Rattus norvegicus: one gene and its partners. The protein of the gene in region 1 purifies or fractionates together with the protein of each later gene. This does not show direct contact. Links are inferred from orthologs where the notes say so. Each region holds a gene or a part of one and is shown on either strand. Other genes may lie near its edges. The genes, in order: Eif4e, Eif3b, Angel1, Hhex and Eif4a1.

Region 1 (6,468 bases):
GCTTTATATTGATAAACATACTACATTTTATAGTATTTGGTGCTCCTGTTTTCTTTCAAAGCTTTTCTTCCCATGTGTATGGGCAGTGTGCCGGCACACACAGATTTGTGCAGCATGTGTGTGCCTGGTGTGAAGGTTCTCCTGAACTCCTGTCAGACAGTTGTGAGCTACCTGCCATGTGGGGGCTGGGAAAAGTCCTCTTGAGGTGCTTTAACTGATGAGCCACCTCTCTAGCCCCTTTTAAAGCTTTTTAAATGTATATTTATTTACTATGTGTGTGTGTGTGTTTGTCTTGGTGTGGACCTGGAGGTCAGAGAACAACTTTACAAGAGGTCCTATTTGCACCATGAGGGTTCTAGCACTCCAACTCAGATCCTCAGGCTTGGCAACAAACATCTTTACCCCTAAGCCATCTATCTCACTGGACCTTTTTGTGCTCAATTTTATTTGCTGTAGGCTAAGCAAAATTCAAAATTCTGTTGCCTCTACTCTTGAGTGCTCAGATTTCAGGTGTGCACGACCACAGCAGGCTTCTCTTGTGTTTTAAGTCTTATTTTAAAAGCAGGTTTCTAAGCATAAAGAAAGAACTATCTGGGGGTTGGGGATTTAGCTCAGTGGTAGAGCGCTTGCCTAGCATGCGCAAGGCCCTGGGTTCGGTCCCCAGCTCCGGAAAAAAAAAAAGAAAAGAAAAAGAAAGAACTATCTGGACTAGGTGTGGTGCTGTATACCTGTAAATCCCAACACTGAGAAAGTATAGGAAGAACTCCCACCCCCACCTCAAATTTTTGGCTAACCAGTCTGGTCCAAATAAATAGTAAGTTCCAAGCCAACAATGGCTACACAAACCCAAAAGTAAAAACCACAAGAAATTATCCTCTAATTAAAGACTAATGTAAAGTATTCTCTAATAACAAGGAAAAACAGAGCAGAAGAAAAGCGAGCTATCTAAAAGAAGCACGAGTCACTAGAAACATGGCTGAGGACAGTTTTACCAGAGTCTAATCTTGACCGTGCCACAATTCCCAGCTTAACATGAGTGTAGCCTTTGCCACAAGTTCTGTGGAGCAATGTACTTCCCTTAATGTTCCCCTTTGAACTTCTCAATTTATATTTGTAACCCATTACTTACATAACTAAGCTCGAATACTTAAAACCATGTAGCATCAAATTGAAAATTACTTTATGGAAACTCCATAGACTAAAAATCTGGCAAGTGCTTACAAAAGGTTGGATATGTAGGGGGAGAAAAATCAACAGCTCATGACTCTCCAAGTCAGTGGTTCTCAACCCTCCTAAAGCTGTGACCCTTTAATGCAGTTCCTCATGTTATAGTGGTCCCAATACAATAAAACCATTTTCACTGCTACTTTCTAACTAATTTTGCTATTGTTATGAATCAATGTAAATATCTGTATTTTCTGGTGGTCTTAGGCAGCTCAGTCCTTAGACACCCCCCCCCCCGAAAGGGTCACACCCCACAGGTTGAGAACCAGTGTTCTAAGTGTTTACAATTAAATACTCTACCAAAACAAACAAAAAACTCACAAAAGCTCATAAGCTAAATAAAAATAGCAATGACCAAATAAGATTTTTAATTTTTACAAGCTTCAACTGTAATCCAATAGTAGACTAAATCATCTGTTTTTAAAAAGTACTAGTGTGCTCTAAGCCATGGGGATACCTCTAAGGTCTGCCCTGCACAGGACAGCAGACAACGTGGGCTTCTACATACAACCTTTCTGCCAAGCCTCTGAATAAAGTACTTCAAAAACAACGTACTGGTGTAGTTTAGTGCTAGAATAAACTTAGTAAATGCACCAGGTCCTGAGCTACAAATCAAGCATCCAAACCAAATCTTTTCAGTTTGGAGGGAATCCTGGAACTAGCTCTGTAGAACAAGCTGGGCTCAAACTCAAAGAAATGCCTCTGTCTCCCTAGTGCTGGGATGAAAGTAGCCCGCAGCCACCGCCCAGCTCCAAAAAAAAATCTTACAAATATTAAAATACTGTATGACTAGCCTCTAAGCAAGGGTGTGCTAACAGTAAACAGAAAATGAGCACCTCAGTGTCACTTTGCACACTGTCTCCAACTAGTTTCAACCCAAGTTCCACCCTTCACATGTTAGGCTTCTAGGCTTCTCTTGTCCTTAAATTTACACACACTATGCACATCAACAGGGTCATCAGTAGGAAGAGTATCTCACCTCTGAGCCTGACACTGGCAGTTAGGCTCCATAAGAGCTCACAAAGCACAGACCGCATTTTATATAACTTTGTATTCTAAATATCACTTGGTAACCACCCAAAAGGTATCAGCAACTCTGAGCTGACTCAGAACAAAATCCAATGACTACATTGTGGCTTTAGCACAATCCAAGACTTAAATGGAACTGAGAGTCATAGTTCACACTGCTGTTTTATTACTTAGGTCTTTTTAGTTTTGCCTCTATTATTACCTGTAATATTTTCCTCTAATACTGGTAGAGAAAGGTAGAAGATTCAGTCAGAAGTAGACGGCAGAACTTGTCAAGAGTTTAAGTTAAATTTAAATGCTTCCCCTCCTGTTCTTACATTGATATTCTAAAGTTAGTTAATTTCACTAACAACTTATTAGGCAGCTTTGCAAAATGCAGGAAAGCTGATGTCAATAAGGAACAAGTAAATCATGCCTCCACCCACAAAAAAGTAGTCTTGAATTCTGCCAAGATAAGGCTGTTTTGCAAACTAATCAAAATTATTCAGTCTATGGGTGAGTTTTAAAAATATCTGGCAAAGGTGGTATACAAAGGTTTCTGGTTGCTAGTCTATGCCTTTTTGCACCTGAGATTTTTATCACACAGGTGTGACATTCTTTAAAAATCTGGGATGGAAGACCAGTGAGCCAGCTGCCGGCAAACCCAAACCACAACAAAAACAACAACAAAAAAAATCACCACCTTCTGGCTACCGGGTTTACCTACGTGATGCTCTCTGTGCATCTTGCTTCAATTAACTTCAAAATAGCGCTTTAATTAAGAGGGAAGCAGTGTAGAGTGAGGAGGAATCATCAGTGGAAAAGCAGATGTTGAGGCGCTTAAGTGATGGTTCGGAAAAGGCTCCTGAATTTCGATTCTCAGGACTCCAAAAGCTGCCCTCTGACCTTCACACTCAAGCCCTGGCTCGCGCCGCTGCCCCCACGCTTAATTTTCCTTCCTTTAATTAAAGAAAAGATAATCTCCAAAGTTCCTATTTCCAAAATTAGTGTTCCTTGAGTATCTCCCAGACGATCTCCTCGCGTAAGAGTAGAAGAATCTACACGGTCCTCGGAGGCGTGCGCACTGCGCCGGGAGGATGAATGAATGGAAGCCCGGCGCGTGTGAAATGCAGGTCTACGGCCAGCCGACCCGCTGGAGCGAACTGTAGGCCTCGCTCCTCCCCCTTCCCTCCTCCATGACAGCCCAGTCCCGGCGTGGAGGGGCCAGGACAATGTGATCACCTTCTCGGCCGGCCCCCTTCCCCGGCCCCCGGAGGTGCGCGACACGACCCCTGGGCGTGCTCTCCACTCAACGCCACAGCCCCCAGCTCCCCGCGGGACGCGCTCCCCTTCTTGCCGCGCCCCGCCCGCCCGGCCCCGCGCGCCCACCGGCTCCGCCAACCCACCCTCCTCCACAGCTTGAGAGCGCGGCCCGCACGAGGACCCCGGCGGCGGGGCGCGGGCGACGGCGAGGCGCCGCTGCCTCAGGCTCCCTCTGACTCTTTCAGGCCAGCTCGCCGCCCACCCGCCCCGCCAACCACGGTGCCCGCTAGGAGCCGCCCGCCCCACGCCCACCGGGACCCCAGACCGATCCCGCGCTGGCGGCCCGAGCCGCCCTCCGCCGGCCGCACCGCAGGGCCGCGCGGCGCCCCTCCCCCACCGACCCGGTGCCCGGGCCCCCACACGGCGTGTGCGCTCCACGCTGCCGCCGCCAGCCTCCCGGCGCCGAGGCTGCCCGCGGAAGGTCAGGCCGGTGGGAAAGGGGCAGGACGCGGCCGGAGGCGCTGTGCGCGCCGGGAACGCCGTCCTGCGGACAGTCCCTGAGCGGAGGAAGCCAGAGCGCGGGGACCTCGGGGGTGGGGGCCGAAGGCAATACTCACCGGTTCCACAGTCGCCATCTTAGATCGATCTGATCGCACAACCGCTCCTGAAGGGGGGGCGAGAGGAAAAAAATGAGATTCAAACCGGATTGGCCGGCTCCTGCCCACGTGACGGACGTGTCCGTTTGGCCCTGGCGGCGCCTGCGCAAGACTGCAGCTGCTTGGGGAACAAGAGGCTTCTGGGAAGTGGAGTCTCTTTTTTTTTTTTTTTTTTTCTCTTAAGGCAAGGAAGTTTTTTCTCCCAAAAAAAAAAAAAAGTGATCACGTGGTCGCTGGCGAGGGTGCGCGGCTCCCAGCGCCGCCCGCACTTCCTGCAGAGTAGGTTTTAGGCCTCTGCGGTGCAGCGGGCAGAGCTCCGGTTGCTCTCACTGCTGGGCATTCCTGCTGTGCCCTCTGTCGCCCAGTCCTCCCATCTTTCCTAGAAGGTTGAGAACTGCAGGCTCAGCACACGCAAGAAGGCTTCATTTGCTTAGCTGAGGTCCTAAGACAAGTTGCTTGTGTTTTTATTTAGTTTTCTTTTCGCCTCCCACCATTTTCTCTTGGTTTCAGAAAGAGGCGGCGATGGAGAGTCGTTGATGAGGTCTGCGTTCCCCCGTCCCCGGTCCACTAACGCGGGTGGTCCCTTGCTGCCATCGCTGCCCAAGCGGGTGGGCGGGCTTGCCCACGGTACCCACTCACACGCTTGGGGAAGGGGAGTGCACGCGTCGGCTTTTCCTGTTCCCAGTCCTGAGATGAAGGCGTCAGGGGTGAATCTTGCTGGACGTAAAAAGTTTGGAAAGTTCTGTCCAATCGGTTCCAGTATTCTGCTTGGACGTGAACGGAAATAGCCTACGTCCAGGTGCCAGCCAGGGAAGCCACTCCGGGCTCCGCTGACTCAGCCCTGGACTGAGGGTCAGGAGTCGTTAAGCCGGGTCAACTATGACTCTTGACGTTGACTCATGCTCCTTAGGCGAGTGACTTAATCACTCAGCGCCTCAGCTTTTTCATTTATGAACCAAAGATGATAATACACTTACCTCACAAGGGTGTGCTGTGGTAAGGACTGTAACCAGCTTTGAAAACGCTTCGGAATCTAGAAGCAAGCGCGTGCCTTCTAAGCACCGGCTGCCTCCGCCTCCGCTGCTGTTTTAACAATTTTTTTTCTTGACCCTGGGTCTCCTGTAGCGCACGGTGGCTTTGAACTTAAGATGTAGGGGAGGATGGTCTTGAACTGTTGATCCTCCTGCCTCCACCTCCCTGTCAAAGTACTGGGATTACTGGCACGTGCTGGTAGTGGGGGCGGGGAGAGCCCTTTTTTGCTGAGAGGGATGGAACTCGGGGCTTCGGAGTGCTAAATAAGCACTCTACCAACTGAGTTATATCCCCAACCCTTAACAATGTTTTAAATTTTTCTTTTGTTTACTTTGTTACGTACACCAATGCAGTTTTAAAGTTTCAAGACTTTGCTTTTCTTTACGAATGTCGCTGCTCCCAACAGAAACTTCATGTTCATGAAATTATGTTCATAACAACTTCTAACAAGCAGAAATTTGCCCCTACACTGGCATGCCACATTTTCTTCTAAGTTACTGGGCCATCGTTTCTCAAGACCAAGACCGTGTTGAGTAAAGGTTCTAATGAGGAAGACAGGATCTCGTAGCTGTTTCCAGGAAGCTTAAGAATGTTACCACCAGGAAAAGCAGGCTATCTCTGCGCCGGCCTCTCCATGGCATTAGTGTTGTCCCGAGCTGTGTCACAGCTATTAACTATTATTGAGTACATAATGGATGCTTGGGTTGACTAACACATAATTGAGGCTGTGTAAGAACTCAGAGCCACTGCGGGGCTCTGTGTTTTTTTGTTTACCAGGATGGCAGAAGCGATTTACACGAAAGCTTTTGCTTAGTCAGCAGGAGTAGATTCTAAAGTTGACACAGTTCTGCAAACTAAACATAGGTGAATTTCTCTGTACAAATCTGTTACACTAACCGAAGTGATTACAATTGACCCCTTATTTTCTGTTGTCTGTAAAGTGATGTCTGGTTAATTCCTATGAAAAGACAGCACTAGGAGGCTGATTTGTAGCTCCGTTGATAGAGTACTCATATAGCCCAGAGCCCTGTTTTAGATCCCACAACACCACATAAACCCAGCTTGCTGGAGGATCCGGAGTTTAAACTCAGTGACATGCCAAGTTCCAGGCCAGCCAAAGAAACAGGAGAATCTCTATCCAAAGAAAGGAAAAGACAGCATAAATATCCTGTTTTGAGCTGCAAGATTACAGCAAAAACCAATCCATTGGCAAGAAAATATCCTGACGAGCCTGAAAGCCACCAATATAAAATTTTTGTTTTAAATAACATTTGTTTGTATTGTT
Region 2 (5,668 bases), on another chromosome or scaffold:
GCTCACAGGTTTTGTTTGCATGGACTGGCTCAATTGTCCACCCAATGGTAAACACAGGAGGCAGTGACCCATGCTCCAGCAGGCCCTGCCAAGCAGACATGCCCAATGCTCTAGCAGCTGGCCTCTCAGCAGTGAGTTTGAGAAACAGTGGACCAAACTGTCTCCCTAAGCCACAAAAGTTCGTGAGTAATGCCCTCTCACCCTGGGGTCCCTGGATACAACAATCCTACAGAAAACAGTATCTGTCCCTGGCCCTGAGAGACTTCATTCCCCAAGGGCCCAGCACCTGCCATCGTCTACCTTATGGCTCCACCACGACACAGAGGTAACCACATAGCGGCCAGTTGGGTCCCATTCGACGTCGGAGGCCATGTAGTGCTCTGCAATGTTCATGACGGTGCAGTCTGAAGTGTCGACAAACGCCAAGGCGCCATTCATGCTGTGGGATGACAGGGCAGCTGTATCCCACAATCCCCTTGCACCCTACTGAGAGGTCCAATGCCCCTCACTCCAACTGAGTTACAAGGGTGAGAAAGGACCAAGGGCTCTGCTGGGCTGAAGTTAGTTCCCTGGGCCCTATCGCCCTCACAGTGACAAATTTCCCAAGGACATGAATGGTGTACTCAGTGCTCTGTGGCGTCTAGAGAAGATGTTGTGTGTGGAAGCGTCCATGGTGGGAGCAAGCCACAGTAGTCCTTCCCAGCAGAGGGCAGGGCTGGACTTGCTCACTACTCCTATGTGCTCAGCTGGAATGCAGGGGAACAAGTGAAAGGCACCCCAACCAGAGGGCAGGACAGCCTCCAGCTATGCATCTGTCCCACTGGAAGACGTGGGATTCACAGGAGGGGTGCACGGCTACGATCACAGAGGACATGTCATCTGCAAGTCACTACTTCAATCAGCCTGGTTTGGCCAGAGGCTTGGCTGTGATAAATATCTAGTGAGATGATGCACTCCACCAACACAAACCATCAGGAGCAGGACGCTGCCTTAGCGGGCAGGGCCCCAACCCACCTCCTCAGCCCGGCCAGTACCACGAACTGCCCCTGGGGACTCCAGAAGATGGTATTGGCTTGCTGCTTGTCAAACATCTCTGCAAGGAAAATAAGTTCCTGTGAGGGACTGTGCCGGTGCCTCTCCAGCTAAGACACAGTGCCACACTGGTGAGGAGAGCTGACAGAAGCAGAGTGCACATACGACTCCAACACAAACCCACCAGCCACTTTGGGAGAACTATTTCAAAATCATACCCCCGCCCCCGTTCAGTTATGCCTAAAGTCATGATGCATGCTTCTGGGTGGTGGCTGCTGGCTATTACAGAAGTCTGGTGGATACTATTTTCAGCTTCACAGGCAAAGACTGCACTGACAGCAAATACACTGACTCATCTCGGGAGCCCTTAGTGTCCACCAACAGCACCATGGGCCAAGCTACCAAAATCACCATCTTTCAGTGTGCTTACAGAACATCAAGCAAACCATCTTCCCAGTCACCCTGACCCTGGGTGAAACTGACAAAGCAAATGCGGCAATAACCCAGGTCACCCAAAGCCTCTCTCAGTCTTGGCAAAACAGCCATCTTCCCATATGGGGGGTGGGGAGGGGAGAGTCTCACATTCACAGAGAGCTGCAGGACAAATGTCCCATCTGGCCCCAAAGCACAGAGGAGCATTGACTGTGACCCTGGTGAGAGCTGAATCACAGAGATCCGGGGGATAAATGACACGTCTCCTGGTGTCTGTTATAATGGGACAGAAACCTTTTGATTGTCTGCAATTGTCCACCTCTTACATATCCAAGAGAACCAACACCAGAGTGGACTTTACAACACACTAGCTAATTCTGTCACAAATGGTTAGACCCAGGTGAAGGGAAAGCACACTGTTCACAGAAGTCCAAGGAAACCATGGTATGACTGCTACAGCAGAGGGAACAGGGTAGCTGGTGTCCTATAAAGAACTTATGAAATACAGCCTGTATTTCCATCCCAGTGAGGGCAACACTGTGGGTTTAGGTTCAGCTTGCCCTAAGCCCTAACCCTGCTGTGGGGCTGTCACAACAAAGACAAGAAGAGTAGGCAGTAGCCCTTTGGGAGTCTAAGCAAGGCCACACGTGGCCCCCATGCCAAAGGGGAGTGTCTTTTAGGTGAGCCCTGCTGCAGGAAAGGGAATGAGAACACCCCTTCCTGCCGGAGCCGAGCAGAGGACTCAAGGGCTAAGCCAGGCTGAAGGGCAGGGGCAGTAAGGCCCAACTTACTGACTCACTCCAGGCTCGGTGGATATGAAGTATGTGCCCCCTGTCCTGAGTCATCCCAACCTGCTATCATCTCCCGCACAGCTAGAATCCCGGCCCCTGAGCTCTGCAGAGAGAGGCCAAGGGCAGACTACTCACTGATGAGTTCAATCTTCCCATTGCTCTTCACGTGGTAGAAGGAGACAGATATCCGAGGGGCCTCACCATGAAGCACAGCAAACTTACTGCCATTGGGTTCCCAGGCAAAGGCTATGATGGTCTCTACAACCAGCAGGAAAGAGGAGTCAGTTGTCCTAATCTTTCATAACAAAATCTCCATTTTCAAAGATCTTCATTCAATTGGAGAAAAGCACTCCTAATCTACTGGCAGGACCACAGATCAAAAGACAGCAAAAGCAAAGAGAAGTCAGCAGAGTTCAAAAGCACTTGGTTTATCTGGTTGGGATGTTGTGTTAATAACAAGTCCAAGCCAGCCTAGAACTTGGACTGTTCCAGCCCTGGCTTCCTGCAATCTATGATCACAGGCAGGTGCCACCAAACTGTCTTTCCTTAACTGACTTAAGGACTTAACAACTTAGCTGTGGTCTTCTATAGTGAAACAAACTGAAAGCCAATGAGAGGCACAGGCACTAAGACTAAGGATGGAACTAACATATGAGTAAAAGTACATCAACCTTTATGTTGCTGGGCGGTGGTGGTGCTTGCCTTTAATCCCAACACTTTGGAGGTGAAGGCAGGTGGATCTCTATGAATTCCAGGTACCAAAGAATACATAGTGAGATCCTGTCTCAAAATACCCCACTTAAAAAAGAAATACTTTTATTTTTTCCAGAGAGAAAAAGGGAAGGCAGGCCAAGCCTGGTGGCACAGGCTTACAATTCCAATACTCGAGAGGCCAAGGCAGAAAGATTGGTGTTCAAGAGCAGATGGGCATAGAACGAATATATTTCAGACACAAACAAAATCAGTCAAAAATACAACCAGCAGGGGTTGGGGATTTAGCTCAGTGGTAGAGCGCTTGCCTAGCAAGCGCAAGGCCCTGGGTTCGGTCCTCAGCTCCAAAAAAAAAAAAAACCAAAAAACAAAAAAACAAAAATACAACCAGCAAGAAGCTCTTCAAGGTAACTCCAGGCATGGTGTGCCCCTGTAGCCCTATAATGGGCAGGAAGGCAGGCAGGAGGGTCCTGTGGCTAGCCAACCTAACCTATGTGCAGATCTAACCTAGGTCAGGGTGATCTGGGGTAGCTGCTCTTGCTGAGATCCCACTTCAGTACGCCGCTCTGAACACCTATCTCACATAGAAGCTGTACAAGACAAGGGCACGACGGCCCTTCCTGCTTACCTTTCATCTCAACAACGTCAACAGGAACCTGCTTCTCCCTCATTCGGAAGATTTCAAAATTTGTGACAACTCCCTGTTGACAAAAGCAAAACAGGAAGGGTAATTCTCTGGAAGGTGAAGGCATGAAAATATGGGGGTACAAATAATGATCAGACAGAAGACAGCACTCACTCACCAGCACACCCACAACCCTGATGTGGTGCCGAGGCTGGTATGACAGCATAGCCCAAGCACACTCTGCAGCACATCTACCGGAGTTTACCAGAGGGAACGATGGATTTGCACACTGTAGAGCAACCTGCACCATGACCTTCAAAAGCACTAAACCCAGCAGCAGACTCAGTAACTACTCGCCCACCTTAATGCCAGCCCACTAACATGTGGATGCATGTGTGTGCTGGAATACCAGTCAACTATGAAAAAGAATAGAATGAAATGCTGATGCATGCTACAATATAAAAAAAGGTGAGGTCTGGGGCTGGGGATTTAGCTCAGTGGTAGAGCGCTTGCCTAGGAAGCGCAAGACCCTGGGTTTGGTCCCCAGCTCTGAAAAAAAAAAAAAAGAACCAAAAAAAAAAAAAATAAAAAAAAAAAAAGAAGAAGAAAAAAGGTGAGGTCAGAGAGGCTGGACACGAAGGGTCACAGGCTGCAGGGGAATGTTCCTAACAGAGACACCCAGAGAAAGCAAACCAGAGGCTGTCGGGAGTGAGGAGAGGAGAAGGATGGAGGCATAGCTCAATAGAACATTTGACCAGCAATCAGGGGGTTGTCTGAATGACACCGGCATAGGGACAAAAAATAGAAGGGTGGACCAAGGAGCAGTGTGGAAAGGAGAGGCAGCTTAGCATGCCTGTGTGACCTACTAAACATATCCAAAGTCAGGGAGACGGCTCGCCACTTAAAAGCATTTTGGTATATGAATTACATCTTGAGAACAATTAGTTGGGACAGGCTTGGTAGTGCGTGCCTGTGATACAGCACTCGAGGCTAAAGCAAGAGAATCACTGAGTTCAAGAATACCCAGAACCAAAGGCCAAGACCCTGTCAGAGTCAAGACCCGTCAGCAGTCAAGAGTGCTGACTGCTCTTCCAGAGGTCCTGAGTTCAATTCCCACAACCACATGGTGTCTCACAACCATCTGTAATGGGATCCAATGCCCTCTTCTGGTGTCTGAAGACAGCTACAGTGTACTCATTTATAAATAAATCCTTTTAGAAAAGGAAAAGCTTGGGTGTCACTGTGTATTCCTGGATAGTCTGGAATTTGCTATACAAACCAAATTGGTCTTAAACTTGGAGATCTGACTGCCTCTGCCTCCTGAGTGCTAGGGTTAAAGTCATGCACACCATCCCTAGACACTGTTTTTTGGATGAGAAAAACATAAAATTACATAAACAGAAGCACATTTGTATGCAGAAATGTGAAGTCCACCTGATTACCAGGAAAGCAATCTATCCCTTTCAGCTTCTAGTATGAGTGGCTGAGAATCTGAGGATGACACTACTGTATTTTCCCGTGAGCTCAGAACTACATGAAGTGATCAACCCTTAAGGCGGTAAGAAGACAGGATTGAAAGTCCTCCAAGTTCTAGTAAAGTGCTATGTCCAGATTGAGAGTCTCACATCATTATCTAGACATAGCTCACAGCCTCTCAAAAACCATGAATTAGAATTCCACACCCACACCCAGAATCTCAAACACATAGCAGTCTTGCGTTTGGCAGTGCTTGCCCACACTGAGGCACCACGAACTTCCCAGCAGCTGTGGTCTAGAGTGCCGTCAGGCTGAGGCTGCCTCAAGCTCAGACTCACACTGTTACAAGTTACAACTGTGTTGTCTCTACTGTACTTAAAATTTATTTCTTACCAAAAAAAACCAAAAAAACAAAAAAAAACCTTAATGGTTTAACTATTATTTTTCATCATTCTTCAGCATTATTAAATTAGTAGGGTCTCGGATTGGGGATTTAGCTCAGTGATAGAGCGCTTGCCTAGGAAGCGCAAGGCTCTGGGTTCGATCCCCAGCTCCAAAAAAAAGAACCAAAAAAAAAAAAAAAAAATTAGTAGGGTCTCTG
Region 3 (5,668 bases), on another chromosome or scaffold:
CATTTAAACCCCCACACTTCATTTCTAAAACAGAAACAAAGGAGAAACAAGGAAAAGATAAACCATCAAGCTCTGGGCCTCCACCTTCTTTAGCAGTTGACCCTGCATTTCCTGGCAGAGGGAACAATCATTGGCCCTGTTCTGAGAACCAGCAGGGCTCAGCTGTGGGGCCATCTCAGGAGGTGCCCAGAGAGTGACAGAGAAAAGTGGGTTGTGGGCAGATGGGCCTGGGGCTCAGACAGGCAGATGCCCAGTACCCAGAGAACAAAACTTAAAATAGACACACACAGGACAAGAAGTCCCCAGACCTGAGCATGGGAAGCTGAGAGTCAGCAGTGCAGCAGCAGCGTTCCAGCTGGGTTTTTGGCTTCCAAATCAAGGGAAGAATGGGGCTCCTGGTCCACCAAGCCTAACTCCAGCCTCAGTCAATTCCCTCCCAACTAGGGCCAGCAGATATTTTGAGTTAAAGCTGTGTGGAGGATCTGGCCCAAGGACACCCTAGGCTGTACCCCAGCACTGAATAAGGCATGCAGGTGACATGGTTTGGGCTACAGGGGTTTTCTGTAGGTTAGGGAGCCCACTTTTGGGGAGGAAAGGCAGAGCAAATGAGTAAGCACTGCCACCCTGAGTTCTTAGACCTAGTGTGCCCAAAGCCAGGCTTCTGTTGAGATGTTTTGGCCTGAGCTAAACAGCACGCTTCTCCGGAGAGAAAATGGAAGGGAACAAGAGGGGGTGGGGGTGGGTGGGGAGAAGAAGCAAAGAAACTTTCTTAGGTGCACAGAGGTCAGAGGTCAAGCCCTCTGGGGCTCCAGTGCTGGCTAAGGCTGTAGAGCCTCCTGCTCTTTCTACCGGGCTCCGCCTCTTACCCAGTTCCTCAGTCTGGTGAGACAACAGTTCCCTGAAGGTGGAGTCTCCTCATCCTTAAAGCCTCCCAGCACTGTGCCAGCCCAGCGAGCCCCAGCACAAGGCATCAACCGCCTTCCTCAAGGAAGTCAGTGAGGAGATCAGAGGTGTGGGGTATCCCTGGGCTACCGCTCCAGGCTGTGGGCCAGTTTGTCTCCAGAAATAACAAGTGTGCCCAGGATGCCTAGATGACTGACTGGGAGAAAAGGGCCCCTGCTTGCTGCCTCCTGGCAGCACACAGCTACTACATCATGCTCTCCACCTGCCCCTAGTCCAGTACCTCATGGTGGCACATGGACTAGGCAGAAGCAGGCTTGGCTGTGCTGGGCAGTCCCACCCCAAGAGAACTCATGCTTTACACACACCTTGCATGTGCATGCCAGAGCCCAGAGGTCATGAAAGGAAGGGGAAGGTTGGGTCAGAGGGTGCCACCAAGAAATGGCCTAAAGCGAATAACCAATGAGATCAATAACTCCCGCAACCCTGGTCATTAAAAATCAATGGGGGGGAAGGGGGCGCTGGGTACACAGAAGAAAGGGGATGCTCTCTACCTCTCCCGGGGCCACCTAGCATGTGGCACAGGATTAGGAAGAGGTTGGGGCAGGGCAGGGACCACAGGCCGAGAACGTGGACAGGCCTGGAGAAAGTCTAACCACGGGCAGGAGGGAACAAGGGAAGGGGCATAAGTTTCCACAGCACGGGGCATTTGCAGTCGTCGGTCCAGTGAGCTCTTTCCCTGGGGGCCCTCATGGGGCAGTGACTTCCATGCCGAAGCTGGCAAGCAAGCAGAGATGGTCTGAAGAGTAGAACGGGTTGGGCAAGCCATTGGCCGCCCAGAGAATCTCTTCAGAGAGGAGGGAGAGGCGGCCCAGGAGCTTGAGGGTTCCATCTCGATCCAACCTGTGATCTGGGGCACAAAGCAGAAGCCAGTAGGTGCAGCAGCCACCAGCTGTACTGCATGGTGGAACTTTCACTTTAAATTAAATGGTCTACACAACACACGCACACATGCGCTCACGCACACACGCACAACATCTGGCATTCTGACTAGAAGGTTTCCCTGTGATAACATCAGTGAATAAAGACAGGTACAGGGACACAGGAACAAATAGGATACAGGTAGGTCCTGCACCTAACATTACAAGGTTTTTGATTTTTCAAGAGGTACAGAAATATAGATTCCTTATATAAAACGATTCTAAACAGGCAATTAATTCAAACATTCTAAAAATAATAAGCAAACTAGGCATGGGACTAGTGAACTGCTCATTGTGACTACTGGCAAGAAAAAACAGGGTCTGACCTTACCAAGTCCCTCCCCGACTTCTGCCCTTAGACAAGTCTAATTACGTCTCATGCTATACTTCTATCTCCATGGTGGAACTAGGAATGACTTCCCTGCCCTAGCCCTGGCACCCCAGGAAAAGAGCAGCACGTAAGGTAGGTAGCCTGCATAAAGAATGAGCACAAAGCTGGTATGACATCTGCTCCTGGAGCCCAAGCCAAGCCACCAAAACCCAACCTGCCATCTGCTATTCCCAGGCATCCTGGGGTGGCTTCTAGAAACCCCTGACTCAATGGTCTTACCACTTCTGTTCTCATTCTCACAGGACTCAGCTGAGAAAAAAATGTAATCCACTGTCATCCCAAGACCTAAGGGCATCGTCGTGACCTCCGGGCGGCCGTGCTGGGGCAGGAAATGGGTATATACTGAGGTCAGGTGGAGGCAGTGCTGGATGGTGCCTATAGTCCTACAGGGACAGAAGGTAAGAAGTCAGCTAACAAAACACATTATATTTCCCACCGGCCAATTTCTCCGTGGGTTTTATGGAGATTTTTTTAAAGGATAATCTCTAATGATGGTTTCAGATGCTGCTGACACCCAACAATGTATAGCTGGGTTATAGTCCTTGAAAGGAAGTTCTGTATAGCTGTGTAGGTTATGAAGATAAAGTCTGAGTTTCCCTGGAGACCCCAGGTATGGTACTTGGAATGAGAATGCCCCCATAGACTCATGTTTGAATGCGTTGTCCCTAGTTAGTGGAACTGTCTGAGAAGGATTAGGAGGTGTGGCCTTCTCAAAGGTAGTGTGTCACTGGGGGTGGGCTTTGAAGTTTCAAAAGCCCACAATAGGCTCAGCCACTCAGTGTCTCCCAACCCCCACCCCGTGTGTGTGTGTGTGTGTGTGTGTGTGTGTATCTATCTCTGTCTCCTCTCCTTCTCTCTTCTCTTCCTCTCACCCCTCTTTCTCACCTCTCTCACCCACCTCTCTGCCTGCTGCCTGCGGATCAAAATGTAAGCTCTCAGCTACTGCTGCCTCCCTGTGCATGTCTGCCACCATGCTCTCCGCCATGATGGCCATGAACTCATCCTCTGAAAGTGTAAGCCACCCCCAACTGAATGCTTTCTTTTAAAATCTGCCTTGGTCATGTTTCATCACAGCAACAGAGCAGTAACTAAGATAGCAGGACCTTTAGAGATGACTCATGGAACGTTCACCAAGGGAAGCCGGATGAATGGAACAGAGCTGGCCCAAAGGAGAAACAACGTGTGCTGCAGGCAGCAGAGCTGGAGGTGGGGTTACCCAAGTCTTTTGGACTCCAGATGATTCTATCATGAGCCCTAGATGCCAACATGGAGCTGCACTTAGTGTTTTCCCTGCTGGGTCCTAGTCCTTTGGAAGGGGAGTGTTTACTCTGTGTCATTCTATGTTGGAAATACGTAACTTCTTTTGTTGTTGTTGTTGTTGTTGTTGTTGTTGTTGTTGTTGTTGTTGTTTGGGTTTTGTTTTGCTTCACCTTTGCTTTTAGTTTTTGTTTTGTTTTTGTTGTTTTGAGACTATGTAGCCCTAGCTGGCCTAGACGTCATTATGTAGGCCAGGCTGATTTTAAACTCACAGAGATGAGTGCCGTGATGAAAGATGTATGCCTCCACATCCAACTTCCCTTTTACTATACAGGGGCTTGCTTACATTTAAGAGATTTCCTGAGTCTCCTCACCTACAATTTTAAATAGTGTTGGAATTGCTAGACATGGGAACTTATGATGTTGGGCTGAATACATTTGCCTCATGAACCTGTCATGAACCCATGGGAACATGGAGAACAAAGATTTGGCTTAGAAGTGATGTGGTTAGCCGAGGGGTAGAGCTGCAATGGTTTATGTTGTCAACCTGACAGGATTTTAGAGTCACCCCTGGGCATGCCTGTGGGGAATTACATAGACTGAGACAGGAAGACCAAATGAGTGGCACTCTTCCACAGGCAGAGGTCTTGGTCTTAACAAAAGGAGAAAGCAAGCAAAGCCTTGACATTCACTATGGCTTTGTATCTGTATCTGTACGGCTTTGTTCTCCCTTGTGACCTTTTATCACAGCAACAGGAAAATCAATACATTATTCAACCAGCAGATTCCTTCCCATATTAATAAGCGGCTGGCGATCTCAGCTGAACTCAGTCTAGAAACAGATGAACACTGAGACCCTGATACTCCTCATCCCCACTTCCCATTCTCCTGATAAAGAACACCAATGTCTCTCATGTGGACCAGCAGGACCAGCAAGTTTGCTCAGAGGCTTCTCCCTCAAGGAAAGGCTATACAGGCTTTTCACCTTGACTCTCGCATGCATGCATGTGCTGTCTAAGCATACCGTGGAAGACTGAGAGCTTAGCAAAAAGTATTCCAGTCAGCCTCAGTATAGCCAGTGCTCTCTCATGCTCAGACTAAAAACTGCAAACACGTTTACCTGGGGAAGACAGGCTCAAGTTCAGATATCTCTTCCTCAAAGATACACTCGGCCCAACCAGCAGGTCGATCTGTAGGAAGCCAGAAAAAAGAGGTGGGGATTTGTTTTCCATAGACAGTACAACAGAGTCAGAACCTTTCACCTTCAGATCCCTCTCAGTCTGCACTGCTCCAGGAGTTTGGGAGGAGGGAAGGTAAAAGAAACAGTCATGAGACGGGGAGATGAACCAAGGCTGGAAACCTGAGGCCCCTAATACTCTGCACTTTTTACGTATGCATAGTCATATGGTTCAAAAATCAAAACAAAGTTAATCAGTCAAGAGTCCTTCCACTCACCCCTTGCATTTCATTTTTCTTGTACAGGGACAACCAATGCTATCAAATTCCTTATACTTTCCTCTAGATATTTTCTATCACACACCATCCACTGTGTAGTACATATATAGACACACATGTTCATACACACAGCTATGTTGTATATACATTCATAAAGAAAATACAAATGCCAACATCAGAAAAAAACAAGGTATTTTACAAATCTCACTATCCTAGTCCAGTTTCTATTGCTGTGATACACACCAGAATGGACAGTAACTTGGGGAGAAGAGGGGTTTTGGCTTACGTACTCCATCACTGAGGGAAGTCAGGGCAGGGACTCAAGACAGGAAACTTCGAGTAAGAACTGAAGCAGAAGCCACGGAGGGGTGCTGCTTACTGGTTTGCTCAGCCTGCTTTCCTATATAATCCAGGACCACCTGCCCAGGGGTGGCACCACCCACAACAGGCTGGGCCCTCCCACACCAACCATTCATCATACACGCCTCACCCCAAGGCTTCCTACAGGAGTGGGAACTTTTTCACAACTGAGGTCCCCACATTCCAGATGACCCTATCTTTTGTTTAGGTGACAACCAGCACATTTGCTGATATTAATAAAATAACAAGGGTTGACACTGACAAATTCTTAGCAATCAAATTACTAAACTCAAGCATGGAGGAGGGCCTCAGCTGGGCCTCAGTG
Region 4 (6,385 bases), on another chromosome or scaffold:
GCATTTTTTTTTTTAAGAAAAATTTAAAAGTAGGAGCAATAGTTTACAATTCACATTAAAACCTCCCCATTACCAAGTTATTTTGTTTCAAAGTATTCTGTTATTTAAAGCACTGCCAGGTGAACCATTCAGCAGTTGTCAGGTGACTCTGGAAATGTCCAGACTGGGACAGCAAGAGCAAATCTTTAGCTCTAAGTCAATAGGGCTGCTCTGGAGGGGGACTTGGCCTTTCCTCTCTATTCCCTATTTCTTAACAAGGTCATCGAAAGATTATCAGGAAGTTTAAGTTACTTTCCAATCGGGTGAGGGCATTTCTTCCTGCGTTTCATATTCGTTTTTTTAAGAGCTGGCCCAGGATGGGTAATAACTTTGAAAACTCTTTTGATATTTAAGTCTTCTTTCTTAAAAAGTGCAAACAGGGCTTAACAGTGTTTGTGTCTTTATATTTACCCTTGAGTCCTGCCTGGTTTTATTATGGGTGTGTAAATAAAAGAAACAATTTTCTCCCAAAGATAACTACTTAAGTCATTTACTGTCAATTACTTTATCTTTCCTGCGTTAATGAGATAAACAACATATGGGGTTTATAAAACAATTAGCCGGGCGGTTTGCTGGCCGGTGTGTGAAACCCTGGCATAATGGATATAGGAACTGCATTAGGTGCTTTTAGCATTAGTGACACCTGAGCGACTCATCCTGGATTTCAGCAGGAGTATTTGCTTTTTTAATCAAGGTGAAGAGGTTAAATAGTCTCTCAAATGACTTTTGCATACAACCCGTAACAGGCCTCCGCATTTAGATAACACCGACACAAACATTTATTTCCATAGAAACAGAGCCACGTCCATACCTGCTTCAGTCGTCTCCATTTAGCTCTGCGATTCTGAAACCAGGTTTTGACCTACAGAAAAGAAAGCAGATTTGCAAGAAAGTCCCAAATCCTGAGGGACCTAGGAAGAAGGGACCTGGGCTATGGGGCCGTGCAGCTGGGTTGTGGTATACTGCGGCGCCCACAGCGCAATGACTTTAATGACTTTCTCGCTAGCTGGTGTGTTTGGGGGTGGGGAGTGAGGGTGTGGGGGAGCGTCTGACCTGTCTCTCGCTGAGCTGCAACATCTTGGCCAGACGCTTTCTCTCAGGTGGGGAGAGGTATTTCTGAGTCTCGAACTTCTTCTCCAGCTCGATGGTCTGGTCGTTGGAAAACCTCACTTGACCGCCTTTCCTTTTGTGCAGAGGTCGCTGTAGGAAGGGGTTCCAGAGCAAGGGCTTGCCTGTGGGCCAGAAAAGCTGTGGTGAACCAAGGCCCTAGGTCCCTCTGTACGGTTCCCCGACCTACATGGTCCCCAGTGACACAATGGGGAGGCAAGAAAGCGGACATTAAAATACGGATCCTTTCCACACTACTCTCCACCAATGCGCACAGTCAGCTAAACTCTTCTGCCTCACAGATCACCTCTGGATACTCAAGACACGCACTAGCCGCCCAACACACCTGTGGCTAAATGCAAACAAATCTTTTCAACCCCCAAAGAACCCCTGCCGGGCTTAAACCTTATCTTATTTAACCGAACGGACTCTTCTGTATGCACTAACATTTGCAAAAGACGCACTGTGTGCATTTAGGAGAGGAGCAGGGTTGTTACACTTCCCAGGGCCTGGCTGCACAGAAGCGCTCGGAGGGCGCCGGTGTTAGGCCTCGAGTGGGGCCTCCGATGTGGCTCGAGCGCGCCCCGGCCTCCTCTGATTTCACACTCAGCCTGCGGGGGCGGCCAGTTAAAGCCACCCCATGGGCTATGGCAACATTTCCGTCAATGTGTTTCCTGTTGGTCTGTCTCAAAAAAAAAAAAAAAAAAAAGCTTTGCTTCCTTCTGCTCAGGCCTAGCAGAAACCCAAGGAAACCAGGGCGAGCTACGTGAAACCGTTTGCCCGGGACCGGTCCTGCCCCAGAGGGTACAGAGTTGGGGGTGGTCACACACACTCTACATGCTGACATTTTTAAATACAAAATTTACGTACAAAAACAAACAAACAAAAATACCCACACCCCAAATCCCTGTAGCGGTGAGAAGAGAGGAGCGCTGGAGGCTGCTCTTAATAATGCGGACACTAAAATGCCAATTCATTAAAATATTAATTGTCTCGGAGTCCCCGGTTAAGCTGCCAAACTGTTGAGTTTAAACTTTAGCGAGCCCGGTTCTTATTCACTCTAGAGCCCGCTCGCTGGCTACGAGGGACTGAGGCCCTGAACCCAGTCACCGTTGCTTATCTATTTTTTAGGAATATTGTGGGGACAAGCCTCAAAAATCCCATGTAGTCAATGTGTAGAGTCCTATCTGTTTGGGATCTGCACCTTCCTACTCCAGAGTGATGATGGTACGTTTGTCTGTCCGTCCGTCCGTCTCTCTGTCCGCAGGCCTACACCTAAACATTTTGAAAGCTGGCATTGTTTTTTCGAGATTTTGCTTGCGTCAGGCTTCAGACTTGGTGCAAAACAGCCTCCAAAGATGGGGGGCGGGGGGAGCCAGAGAGGAAGCAACTGGTTATTTTAGCTGCCATATAGTCACATCCCACACAGAGGAAATGAACAATATCTGAAAAACGGATCCTGGCTATCAGACGTCGAGTGTTTCCTGAATTTGTCTGTATTGAGGATGTCGATAAAATAATCAGCAGCGTGCACTACTCCGGGGGAAGGGTCTGCTTCATGCAGCCAGGAAAACACTTAACAGCTTCAGAAACCAGATTTACTCCTATCGAGAACTCAAGATTTCCTGTATGAACGGAAAGGGTCAGGCTCCTTCACTGCACAAGCTTGTTGAACCAAGCCCAGCCCAGGAACCGCCCGGGCCGGCAGCTCTCCCTGCCCTGCAGGGGCCAGGCTCCGGGCGTCCCGACGTCCTCTTCCCAGTGCTGCTCCCTAAGGGAACCCCTCCCGGGGCCCACACGAGTGGCCAGGGCCGCCCTCCACCACTTTCCCGAGAGCCCCAGGTCTCTCCCGACTACGCTTGCCCCGATGTCTGCAAGGTGCAAGAAAAGCAATCTGAGTCGCCGAGCGGTCCCAGCACCGGCTGCGCGCCACCGGGGCCCCGCGCCTTCTGTCCCCGCGCGCGCCCGCCAGAGCGCTCACCGCAACTTTCGACTGCGCCTCCCGTCCGCCCCCGTCGCCTCCCGCCGGGAGCGCCTTCCTCACGGACGCCCTCGCTCAACCCCGGCCGCCTTACCCAGGGGGTCGTGGCGGAGTAGGGCGTGCGTGTAGTCGTTCACCGTCCGCGGGAACGGGTACAGAGGGCCTCCGAAGCCACCGGGGCCATAGGCAGCGGCCAGCGCGGCGGCGGGGTGATGCGAGAAGGCGGGGTGGACCGGCGTGGGCTCGTACACCGGGGTCCGGTAGGAGGACACGAGGCTGGTGAAGGAGGAGTTGGGGGACGGCAGCGTGGGAGTGGGCGTGGGAGCGGCGGGCCCGCGACCCAGGATGTCGTCGATGTAGAAAGGCGTCGGGTGAGCGGGCTGCAGCAGCGGCGTGGGCGCGTACAGCGGGACTCCGACGGCGGGCGCAGCCGCGGGCCCCGGGTGCGGGAACTGCATGGCTGCTCCGCAGCCCCTCGGAGAGAGCTGCCCGCCCGCGCGGCCGCGCTACATTTATTTGCGCTCTGCGCTCCCGGCGATAGGCTCTGGCCGCCGCGGGGTGGGGCCGCACTCGGTCCCTTCCTGCCGCCAGGCCCTGCGGCCAATGGCGCGGGCCTCGGACTCGCCTCCGCCCCCGCCCTGACCCGCCCCCGCCGGCCCAGCTCCCGCCCCCGAGACGCACGGGCCGCGGAGCTCTAGGGACCCTCCGCCCCGGGGCTCCTCCGCCGCCCGCGCTCCCAGAGGCTCCAGGCACCTAGTGTGCGACTGCGACCGTCGAAGAGAACACATGGTATGCACTGGAGGCGCGGATCCCAGCGGGATGGCGCCACTGCCGACACTCGGGAGGCCTCTGGCACCTGGAGAAGCGATGGGACTTTGCGGATCAGGGAGCCGCGGGCAGGACGGCACCTTCGGGCGCCTGGGACATCTCCCAGGAGGCTGCGCTTGGGGTAACGGTGGCACTGTCTCGAACGGGGGGGCCTCCGCAGCTCGGAGCTCCAAGGAGAAGACCCTAGCCGCTGTCTGCGTCCCAGACGGGTACTGACAGCGAGACTGCAGGTGCTCCAGACTCTATTTGGGGACCCCCCTAACTCGACCACCTCCCTAGATGCTAACAGAATCTGCTCCAGACCGGTTTTAAGACAGCGTCTGGTGCAGGACCGAGGCTATGCAGTGTTCTTCGATCCAATGGGGTGTGGGAGGCTCCTGGACCTCTGTCCCCCGGCCCTGAAGGACGCAGCTGCACGCAGCCGGGCTCTGAGGTTTTACACGTGTTTTCTATTCAAAGCCGTGGCTCGCTGCTCAGTGTGTCCTCGACTCTGCGGCTTGCTCGCCTCTGGGCCAAAGGGGCATTTTCTTGATTGACGCCCTCCTGTGGTGACCACACCTCGAGTTGGGCAGTTTCAGCTAAGGTCTTCTATTAATAGAAAAACTCTGACATTTTTGTTTTTTCAATTGAGATATTAAGTTTTATCTTTTGGAATTATATCTTCATCTGCAATGGGACTGAAGGTGAAAGAGAAAACTGGTAGCCAGAGGACCAGGATTTCACTTCGCGCATTATTTACTTGAGCACCTACTGTGCGTCATTAGCAAATGAGAGAGGCGGTCTCTGCCCTAGTGGAAGCCGGAAACGAACACAGTAACCTACATACTAGGGAGAAATCATGTGTTAGGGTCGGAAACCTTAAGGAACTCCGGCCCTTCATTTCGGATAAAGGAGAGAGTCACTTTGAGAAAGGAAAAGTCTTCTCAAAGGAAATGATGTTTGAAAGATAAGTAGGTGTCAAGGAGCCTAAGATGAGGCCAAGTCAGAGGAGTGCTTGAGTGCAGTCTCAGGTCAGTTTACTGCCCTGGGCTTTCTCACCTGACCCGTTTGGGACTTGACATAAAGGTTCCTAACTGCTTGGGGATGGAGTCACGGACATCTTTCAGAATAATGACAGGCAAAAGCCACTAGCACAGACAAACCAAATGAGTGCCAAGCGTTGTTATTTGAATTAAAACCTTGGGGCCTAATAAGGATATATATCCGTGTGTCCACTCTTCTATGTGAACCATAGGAGGAAAACACGATTAATTTCACACCGCACCCGCCATGAAGAAGAGGGGGCAGGGCTGGAAAGACAGTAAACTGAATAGCTGGAGAACTAAACCTTGTGAGGTTTCTGGTGAGGGCAAAAACATCTTGCTTGAAGGGGCTCCAAGAAGTGGGCAAACTCCCGGTTATTTAAGCTTTCAAAAATACATCCTCGTTGAGGTGCTAGCTCGGTAACCTGAGCTTCGATCCACGGAAGACATGATGGAAGGGAGAAGGGATTCCACAGTACAAAATATTAGTTGGGAAGAACATGCAGGTTCCTGTCGTGCTATAGTTTTATCTGCATGGTAGCTTTCAAAGTTTCCAGTATTAAAAACTGGAAAAGAAGAAGTCCATGGCACATCATACACAGTAGCGAAGCTTAGAAAACACGAAGTAAATGGTACTATCTTGGCACTCAGTGAACTCAAGTGAAATAAAGGAGTGGTGGGTGGGAAAGCCGGAGGAATGCCAGAAAAATATAAAACATTTGAGGCCAGTGAGGTGGCTCAGCCCCTGGGAGATAGTCTCTCTAATGCTGCAAACACAAGGACTCAGGCTTCCTACTGGGGGCCTGGGGGAGGGAAAGAGACAGAGAGACTTCCACTGTAGCACCATGGCTGGAGTGCCCCCAAACACGCACCAAACACAGTAATAAATAGTTACTTTCTAAGGTAGGAAGTTTTATTGGTTCAGGAAAGACTCATTAGGCACACAGGTGTTGAGTGAAATGTTGAAGAGATGAGGATTCTGGCAAGTTCTTACAGAATTAACACAACTCATTGAGTTTGGGGCAAAAATCAGAATAAATATGAATTGTACATAGATGGGAATATTTCACTGGTACTATGTTAGGTGTAATTTTGGTCTTGGGAGATGAATATTGGAAACCCACTACTAAAATGCAAATTGAAGCATTTTAAAGGTGTGGGTTATGGTACCTGCAGCCTTCGAGTAGGTCCCTATACACGTGTACATGGTTACTCATATGTGTACAACTGTAAATACATGTATAAGTATACATGAAGAAAGGGATAAACCAAACACTACAAAATATTAGTTAGGGGAAGAACATGCAGGTCTCTGTCGTGCTATAGTTTTAACTGCATGGTAGATTTCTAAGTTTCCAGTATTAAAAACTGGAAAAGAAGAAGTCCAGTTTCGTATATTAAAATAATT
Region 5 (5,178 bases), on another chromosome or scaffold:
TTCCAGTGTAGACTTTTAGTGTGGTAAAGAGAAGAGGTTGCTCACGTGCTGCTTGTGGGAAGGACACATTGTATTCCACTGCCATGTAGTTAAGGTAGACTGTACTGTGGCTCTGATGTCGGTCCTTGAGGTGAACAGAAAGGCTCAAGGCATCAGGGACAGTGGCATCCATGTCCATAGAGCAAGGAGGAGGCTTAGGGGGTCTAGGGGTGGGATATAGAAGAGTGAAGGAGGAAGACAAATTCAAGCTGTATACCTGTTTGAATCCAAAGGTAAGCTGTCCGTAAGGGAATGAGAGAGCCAAGTGGGGATGGGCACTGTCACAGCCCCCCTGGACCTTGGTTTTGTTCGGGTTCAATACAGAGAGGCCCCAGGCCTGCAGAAGTGAAAGAATAGTGGGTCTGAAGTCACATGAATGGCACCCAGTTTATCCCTTCTGCTCTTCCTCCTCCCTTCTGAACCAGCCCAGGGCTTGCCTCTGGCCTTCTTTAAGCCCTACTACTTTACCTTTTTTCCACCCTGGGTCAGGTACAAGATGCGAATTTGAATTTGGGCTTGGAGCTGAACACATGGCTGGGAACCATTAGTCCATGTGTAGTTTCCAAGAGCCCCAGTAGAGCTTGGACTAGGACTTGGTGAGGGCGGAGGTGGTCCAGGGTGAGGGCCAACAGTGGAGAAGCCTGGACTGTTTGTGGTGGGAGAAACTGTGGCATTCCCATGACTGGTGGTGGTGGGCCTGTGGCTGGTGGTGGTGGGCCTGTGGCTGGTGGTGGTGGGCCTGTGGCTGGTGGTGGTGGGCCTGTGGCTGGTTGTGGTGGGCCTGTGGCTGGTTGTGGTGGGCCTGTGGGTGGTCGTAGGGCTTGCTGTGCTTCCGGTGGTTGTAGGTGTCTCCGTGAAGGATGGCAGAAGAGTAGCAGCCTTTTTGTGAGGACAGTCTTTCCCTGTTCCTTGGGCTTTCATTAAGAGATTAGTTGATAACCCAGGTGCCGGCTCCTGCCCAGGAGCTCCCTCTCTCCCACCTCCCATTCTCCTTACCTACAAGCAGTACCAGCAAGGTCAGACACACAGGGAACCTCATGGTAGAGCTGCTGAGTCCAGCTAGGCTGTAACAGCTCCTTCCTCAACCCAATCCCCTCTTCTCTTGGAAGAGGAAATGAAAACTCTTACTTCCCTTAACCAAAGTAATCCCACCCCAAACCTGACTCAGGCACCTCAGCTCTAGCCACCCGCTAAAGTAATTTAAATGTTTTCACAATTAAGCACTGATTGGTAGTGGCCTTCTCAGTGGGCGGTAGTCTTAGTTACCATGTGAGGATGAGGCAGTTGACTCACACGGAACTTACCTAAGCCAAAACTTGCTCTACTTGGCAGTTTACAAAGCAGGCAAACAGGAAGCCTTTTCCTCATTGGTAAGAAATTCACCCTCACCCATGTGCTTCAATCCCAGCACTGTAAGGCAGCAAGCAGACCCAAAAGGCCAGTTTGGCCTATATAACCGCAGGACAGCAAGGGCTACAGAACCCAAGGTAATTAGCACCCACATTTGGGTTATGACTAACACCCAGTTGAAGTCTTTGAACCCATTACTACTTTTTCAAAACTGGGAGCAAGTGACACTTGTGTCTTGTGCTAAAGCCCACTACCAAATTTCAGTAGTGTGGGTCATTTGGTATTTCAGGAAGCAACATGGCAAATTCAGGAAAGAACTAGTGCAGGGGCAGCTGAACCACACTAGTAACTGCAGGAGAGGGAAGGGAAGAAACAAGAAGCCCAAACAGGCAGTTTCCAAGTAATTTTATTCAGAATTTTGTGTTTGTTTCCTGAATCAATAAATACTATACAAAACAATGTAAAAATGGCTACCATTTTCTCTCCCCTGCTCCCCTCACCTGGGGACAAGTCCCTGGACAACCTCATTCAGGGGGTTCTCCCTGTAGATTTGGTCCAGCAAATGAGGCCAGCCATGTTTTAGCCCCTTGACTCACTTTTGGAGATTTGGCTGGGGTAGGAAAGCCTTTAGGAATGAGGTGATTAGGTTAGGGAAATGCATTAGTGTTTGGGGGGGAAGGAGACGGCGCCTGGGGCAGAGCCTACCCCAAAGAAAAGGGTGTCTAAAATGTTCACGGTTCCTTCTTTTTGCCTCAAAAAGTGACATTTATTCAAAGAGAGAGAGAGAGAGAAAAAAAAAACAAAACAAAAAAACAAAAACAAGATGTCCATCCCTTGGCTCCCTTCCCTCCCCCCTCCAGCTGTTCCTCAGCCCTGCCCCCAGGACTGAACCCTGGGCTAGGGCCAGGTAGCAGGACAGCCCCTCAAATGAGGTCAGCAACGTTGAGGGGCATCTCTTCAATGGAGGTGTTGTAGAAAGTCTCAATGTCTCGAAGAGTCCTCTTGTCTTCTTCTGTCACCATGTTAATAGCCACACCTTTCCGGCCAAACCGACCACCTCGACCAATTCTGGGGGGGGGGGGGGGAGGTTAGTTTAAAAAGGCGTTAGGTTGGGGAAAGGAACGTGTTTTTTTTTTTTTAAGCACAGGGAGTGTTTGATCTGTCAGACCAGGTAAATACCTGTGGATGTAGTTTTCCCTGTTGGTGGGAAGGTCATAATTGATGACTAGGGAGACCTGCTGCACATCAATGCCTCTGGCCTAGGTCAAGAAAGAATAAAGCCATCAGAGGACACTATCAACCCTAATTTAGTAAGCATATATGTAGGCTGCCAAAGGAGGGCAAAGGAAACAAGTATTCCTTGTTCCCCAGAGACCTTGGACATGCCTGGCTTTCTTCCAAGTTGCTACGTTCCTAAAAAGGGCACATAGTCAGCCCTTTGGAGAGGGAATCACCTTGGGCTATTTTCTCCCTTTCTTTCCTTAAAAGAGCATCTACTCACCAACAGGTCAGTGGTAATTAATACTCTGCTAGAGCCAGACCGGAACTCCCTCATGATCACGTCTCGTTCCTTTTGGTCCATATCTCCATGCTGGAAAACAAGGTTAGGAGCAGCTAGCATAAGGCTCCTAACACACAAAGACACATCTATCATTAACAAGACTGAGAAAACTCACCATGGCAGAAACTGTGAAATCCCGGGCATGCATCTTCTCAGTGAGCCAGTCCACCTTCCTTCTGGTATTAATAAAGATTACTGCCTGGGTGATGGTCAGTGTTTCATACAAGTCACACAATGTGTCGAGCTTCCACTCCTGGAGATCAGGAAACATCAATCAGGAGCTATACCCAACACTTATTACCAGGCCCGCCTCCTGCACTGGGCCCCACCTCTCGTTCCACATTGATGTAGAATTGGCGGATACCCTCCAGGGTCAACTCTTCCTTCTTGACAAGAATCCGAATAGGGTCTCTCATGAACTTCTTAGTCACCTCAAGGACATCAGAAGGCATTGTGGCAGACAGCAAAACTACCTAGTGGGAAAAATGCCCCAGCCATGATTGAGTGCACTGTACAATCAAATCACAACCGAGCCACCGTCCCTCCAACACCATCTGTTTTACCTGTGTGTTGCTGTTGAGCTTTTGGAATATATCATAGATCTGATCCTTGAACCCACGGCTTAGCATTTCATCTGCTTCATCCAGGACGAACATCTTGATGTATTTGGGTGCTAGATGGCAGGAAAAAAAAAACCCCAACATATAGTAATCAGACAAATGTGAAATATATTGAGGTCTCTTGATAAGGCAGGCAGAAGGCAGACAGTCTGCTCTCAGAATGCAAGGACTGATCCTTTGCCCTCGGCTTCCCTGATAGGTCATGCAAAAGCCCTGGTAAGTAGAACACTACCTGGGCTAAGGTTAACAGGGAAGCCAGGCTCAGATGACACGCATGGGGTTCATCACAGAGCAACTCAATTCCAACTAAAGGAAAACTCATCCAAGGAAATGAAATGTAGAAAAGAGCCCAACAACTGTTCCATGGCACTCACACAGGTATCTCCGGTTAAGCATATCGAACACCCGGCCAGGGGTGCCCACGATGATATGGGGAGCTTCCATTTGCAGCTTCTGCACCTCAGCACGCACGTTGGTGCCCCCAATACAGGCATGACAAGAGGCACCCATGTAGTCTCCCAGTGCCATAACCACCTTTTGAATCTAAATGTAGAAAGGCATCTACATTAACTTGGGCAGTACCAGTGAGTTAAGTCTTTCTTATTACAGACAGGAATTATCCCACTCTTAGCAACTGAGAAACAGGAATCCACTTAATCCTCTTCCAACACCACCAATACCGCCACCAAATGGCAATGCTGGATCCGTCCACACAGGTTCACAGTAAGTTTCCCACTCTACATGCAGCCTCATAAAAACCAGGCCAGCTCTACAAACAACTCACACTACATCCTACTACTCCATTCCAAAGGCTGAGATTATGAACACAGCCCTATCTATACCCACAAGGTGATTATTCCATCCCTGCTACAGAACCAAGACTTAGTGATCCATGCTGAGCTCATAAGCAAACCCCCAAAATAAGTAGATCTACAGGGTTCTAAGGTGTCAATCCTCTTATCACGTCTTGCTTACATTGCTACCCAGATGCTTGCTTCAGTGATCACTAGGCTTGAAATAGTAGTTAACAGACTAGCACCAGGATTTCATGTGCCCTAGGCATGAAACAGCTTTGGCCACCAAGCCAGGCATCAAGCTAGGATGAACAAAGGCCTACATCTGCTCTGCCCCTGACTGATATAGGAACAACACCACCAACATGGTGTCTCCTTGCCCATGTCCAGGGGGTGGTATGTTTGTTGTAAACACAGTTTAACCTGCCCAGCCAGCTAGATTCTAACAATACTCTTCCCTTCCTTATTTGACTCAGAAAATGGATTTAAAGTGCTTTTTTTTCCTGGTAGAAAAGTTGTTAGTAATTAGGCAAACCAATCTCAATAGATCTAGAAGCTGTCAACAAATCCCAGTGGCATACAAGAGCGTACCTGACCTGATCTTCTAATTGTCTCTTTAAGACAAGCTTTCTCTAAGTGTTGGCTGTCCTGGAACTAGTTTTGTAGACCAGACTGGCCTTAAAATTGAAGTGCTCCACATGCCTGGGTCACCAGTATCATCACCACTGGCAGACTCTTCTTGAACTCTTAAAGCAGTCATATAGAATTGGAAACACCAATCTTACCTGCTGAGCCAATTCACGAGTGGGTGCCA

The links.
Region 2: the proteins of Eif4e (region 1) and Eif3b purify together in Homo sapiens (affinity purification with western blotting; 5 studies listed by BioGRID and IntAct, with this or other methods). This does not show direct contact. The link is inferred for Rattus norvegicus from reciprocal best matches to the Homo sapiens genes EIF4E and EIF3B.
Region 3: the proteins of Eif4e (region 1) and Angel1 purify together in Homo sapiens (affinity purification with mass spectrometry; 3 studies listed by BioGRID and IntAct, counting the BioPlex papers as one, with this or other methods). This does not show direct contact. The link is inferred for Rattus norvegicus from reciprocal best matches to the Homo sapiens genes EIF4E and ANGEL1.
Region 4: the proteins of Eif4e (region 1) and Hhex purify together in Homo sapiens (affinity purification with western blotting; 3 studies listed by BioGRID and IntAct, with this or other methods). This does not show direct contact. The link is inferred for Rattus norvegicus from reciprocal best matches to the Homo sapiens genes EIF4E and HHEX.
Region 5: the proteins of Eif4e (region 1) and Eif4a1 purify together in Homo sapiens (affinity purification with mass spectrometry; 8 studies listed by BioGRID and IntAct, counting the BioPlex papers as one, with this or other methods). This does not show direct contact. The link is inferred for Rattus norvegicus from reciprocal best matches to the Homo sapiens genes EIF4E and EIF4A1.

What each region holds. Positions count from the first base shown.
Region 1 is NC_086020.1:229,738,428-229,744,895, reverse strand, and holds the start of Eif4e (eukaryotic translation initiation factor 4E), read right to left. Parts: upstream 4,144-6,468; 5' UTR 4,131-4,143; coding exon 4,113-4,130; intron 3,711-4,112; exon of another isoform or gene 3,639-3,710; intron 1-3,638. UniProt on the Homo sapiens protein: Acts in the cytoplasm to initiate and regulate protein synthesis and is required in the nucleus for export of a subset of mRNAs from the nucleus to the cytoplasm which promotes processes such as RNA capping, processing and splicing.
Region 2 is NC_086030.1:19,313,433-19,319,100, forward strand, and holds part of Eif3b (eukaryotic translation initiation factor 3 subunit B), read right to left. Parts: intron 3,668-5,668; coding exon 3,595-3,667; intron 2,514-3,594; coding exon 2,391-2,513; intron 1,094-2,390; coding exon 1,015-1,093; intron 440-1,014; coding exon 301-439; intron 1-300.
Region 3 is NC_086024.1:112,080,148-112,085,815, forward strand, and holds part of Angel1 (protein angel homolog 1), read right to left. Parts: intron 4,719-5,668; coding exon 4,649-4,718; intron 2,655-4,648; coding exon 2,491-2,654; intron 1,811-2,490; coding exon 1,650-1,810; 3' UTR 1-1,649.
Region 4 is NC_086019.1:244,600,156-244,606,540, reverse strand, and holds the start of Hhex (hematopoietically-expressed homeobox protein HHEX), read right to left. Parts: upstream 3,597-6,385; 5' UTR 3,586-3,596; coding exon 3,222-3,585; intron 1,272-3,221; coding exon 1,093-1,271; intron 902-1,092; coding exon 851-901; intron 1-850. UniProt on the Homo sapiens protein: Recognizes the DNA sequence 5'-ATTAA-3'. Transcriptional repressor. Activator of WNT-mediated transcription in conjunction with CTNNB1.
Region 5 is NC_086028.1:54,881,316-54,886,493, forward strand, and holds the end of Eif4a1 (eukaryotic initiation factor 4A-I), read right to left. Parts: coding exon 5,150-5,178; intron 4,760-5,149; exon of another isoform or gene 4,617-4,759; intron 4,114-4,616; coding exon 3,945-4,113; intron 3,864-3,944; exon of another isoform or gene 3,722-3,863; intron 3,624-3,721; coding exon 3,514-3,623; intron 3,424-3,513; coding exon 3,280-3,423; intron 3,204-3,279; coding exon 3,066-3,203; intron 2,981-3,065; coding exon 2,891-2,980; intron 2,851-2,890; exon of another isoform or gene 2,708-2,850; intron 2,649-2,707; coding exon 2,569-2,648; intron 2,458-2,568; coding exon 2,313-2,457; 3' UTR 1,778-2,312; downstream 1-1,777. Other genes in the region: Cd68 (macrosialin precursor), read right to left, coding at 46-124, 257-376, 508-953, 1,036-1,078. UniProt on the Homo sapiens protein: ATP-dependent RNA helicase which is a subunit of the eIF4F complex involved in cap recognition and is required for mRNA binding to ribosome.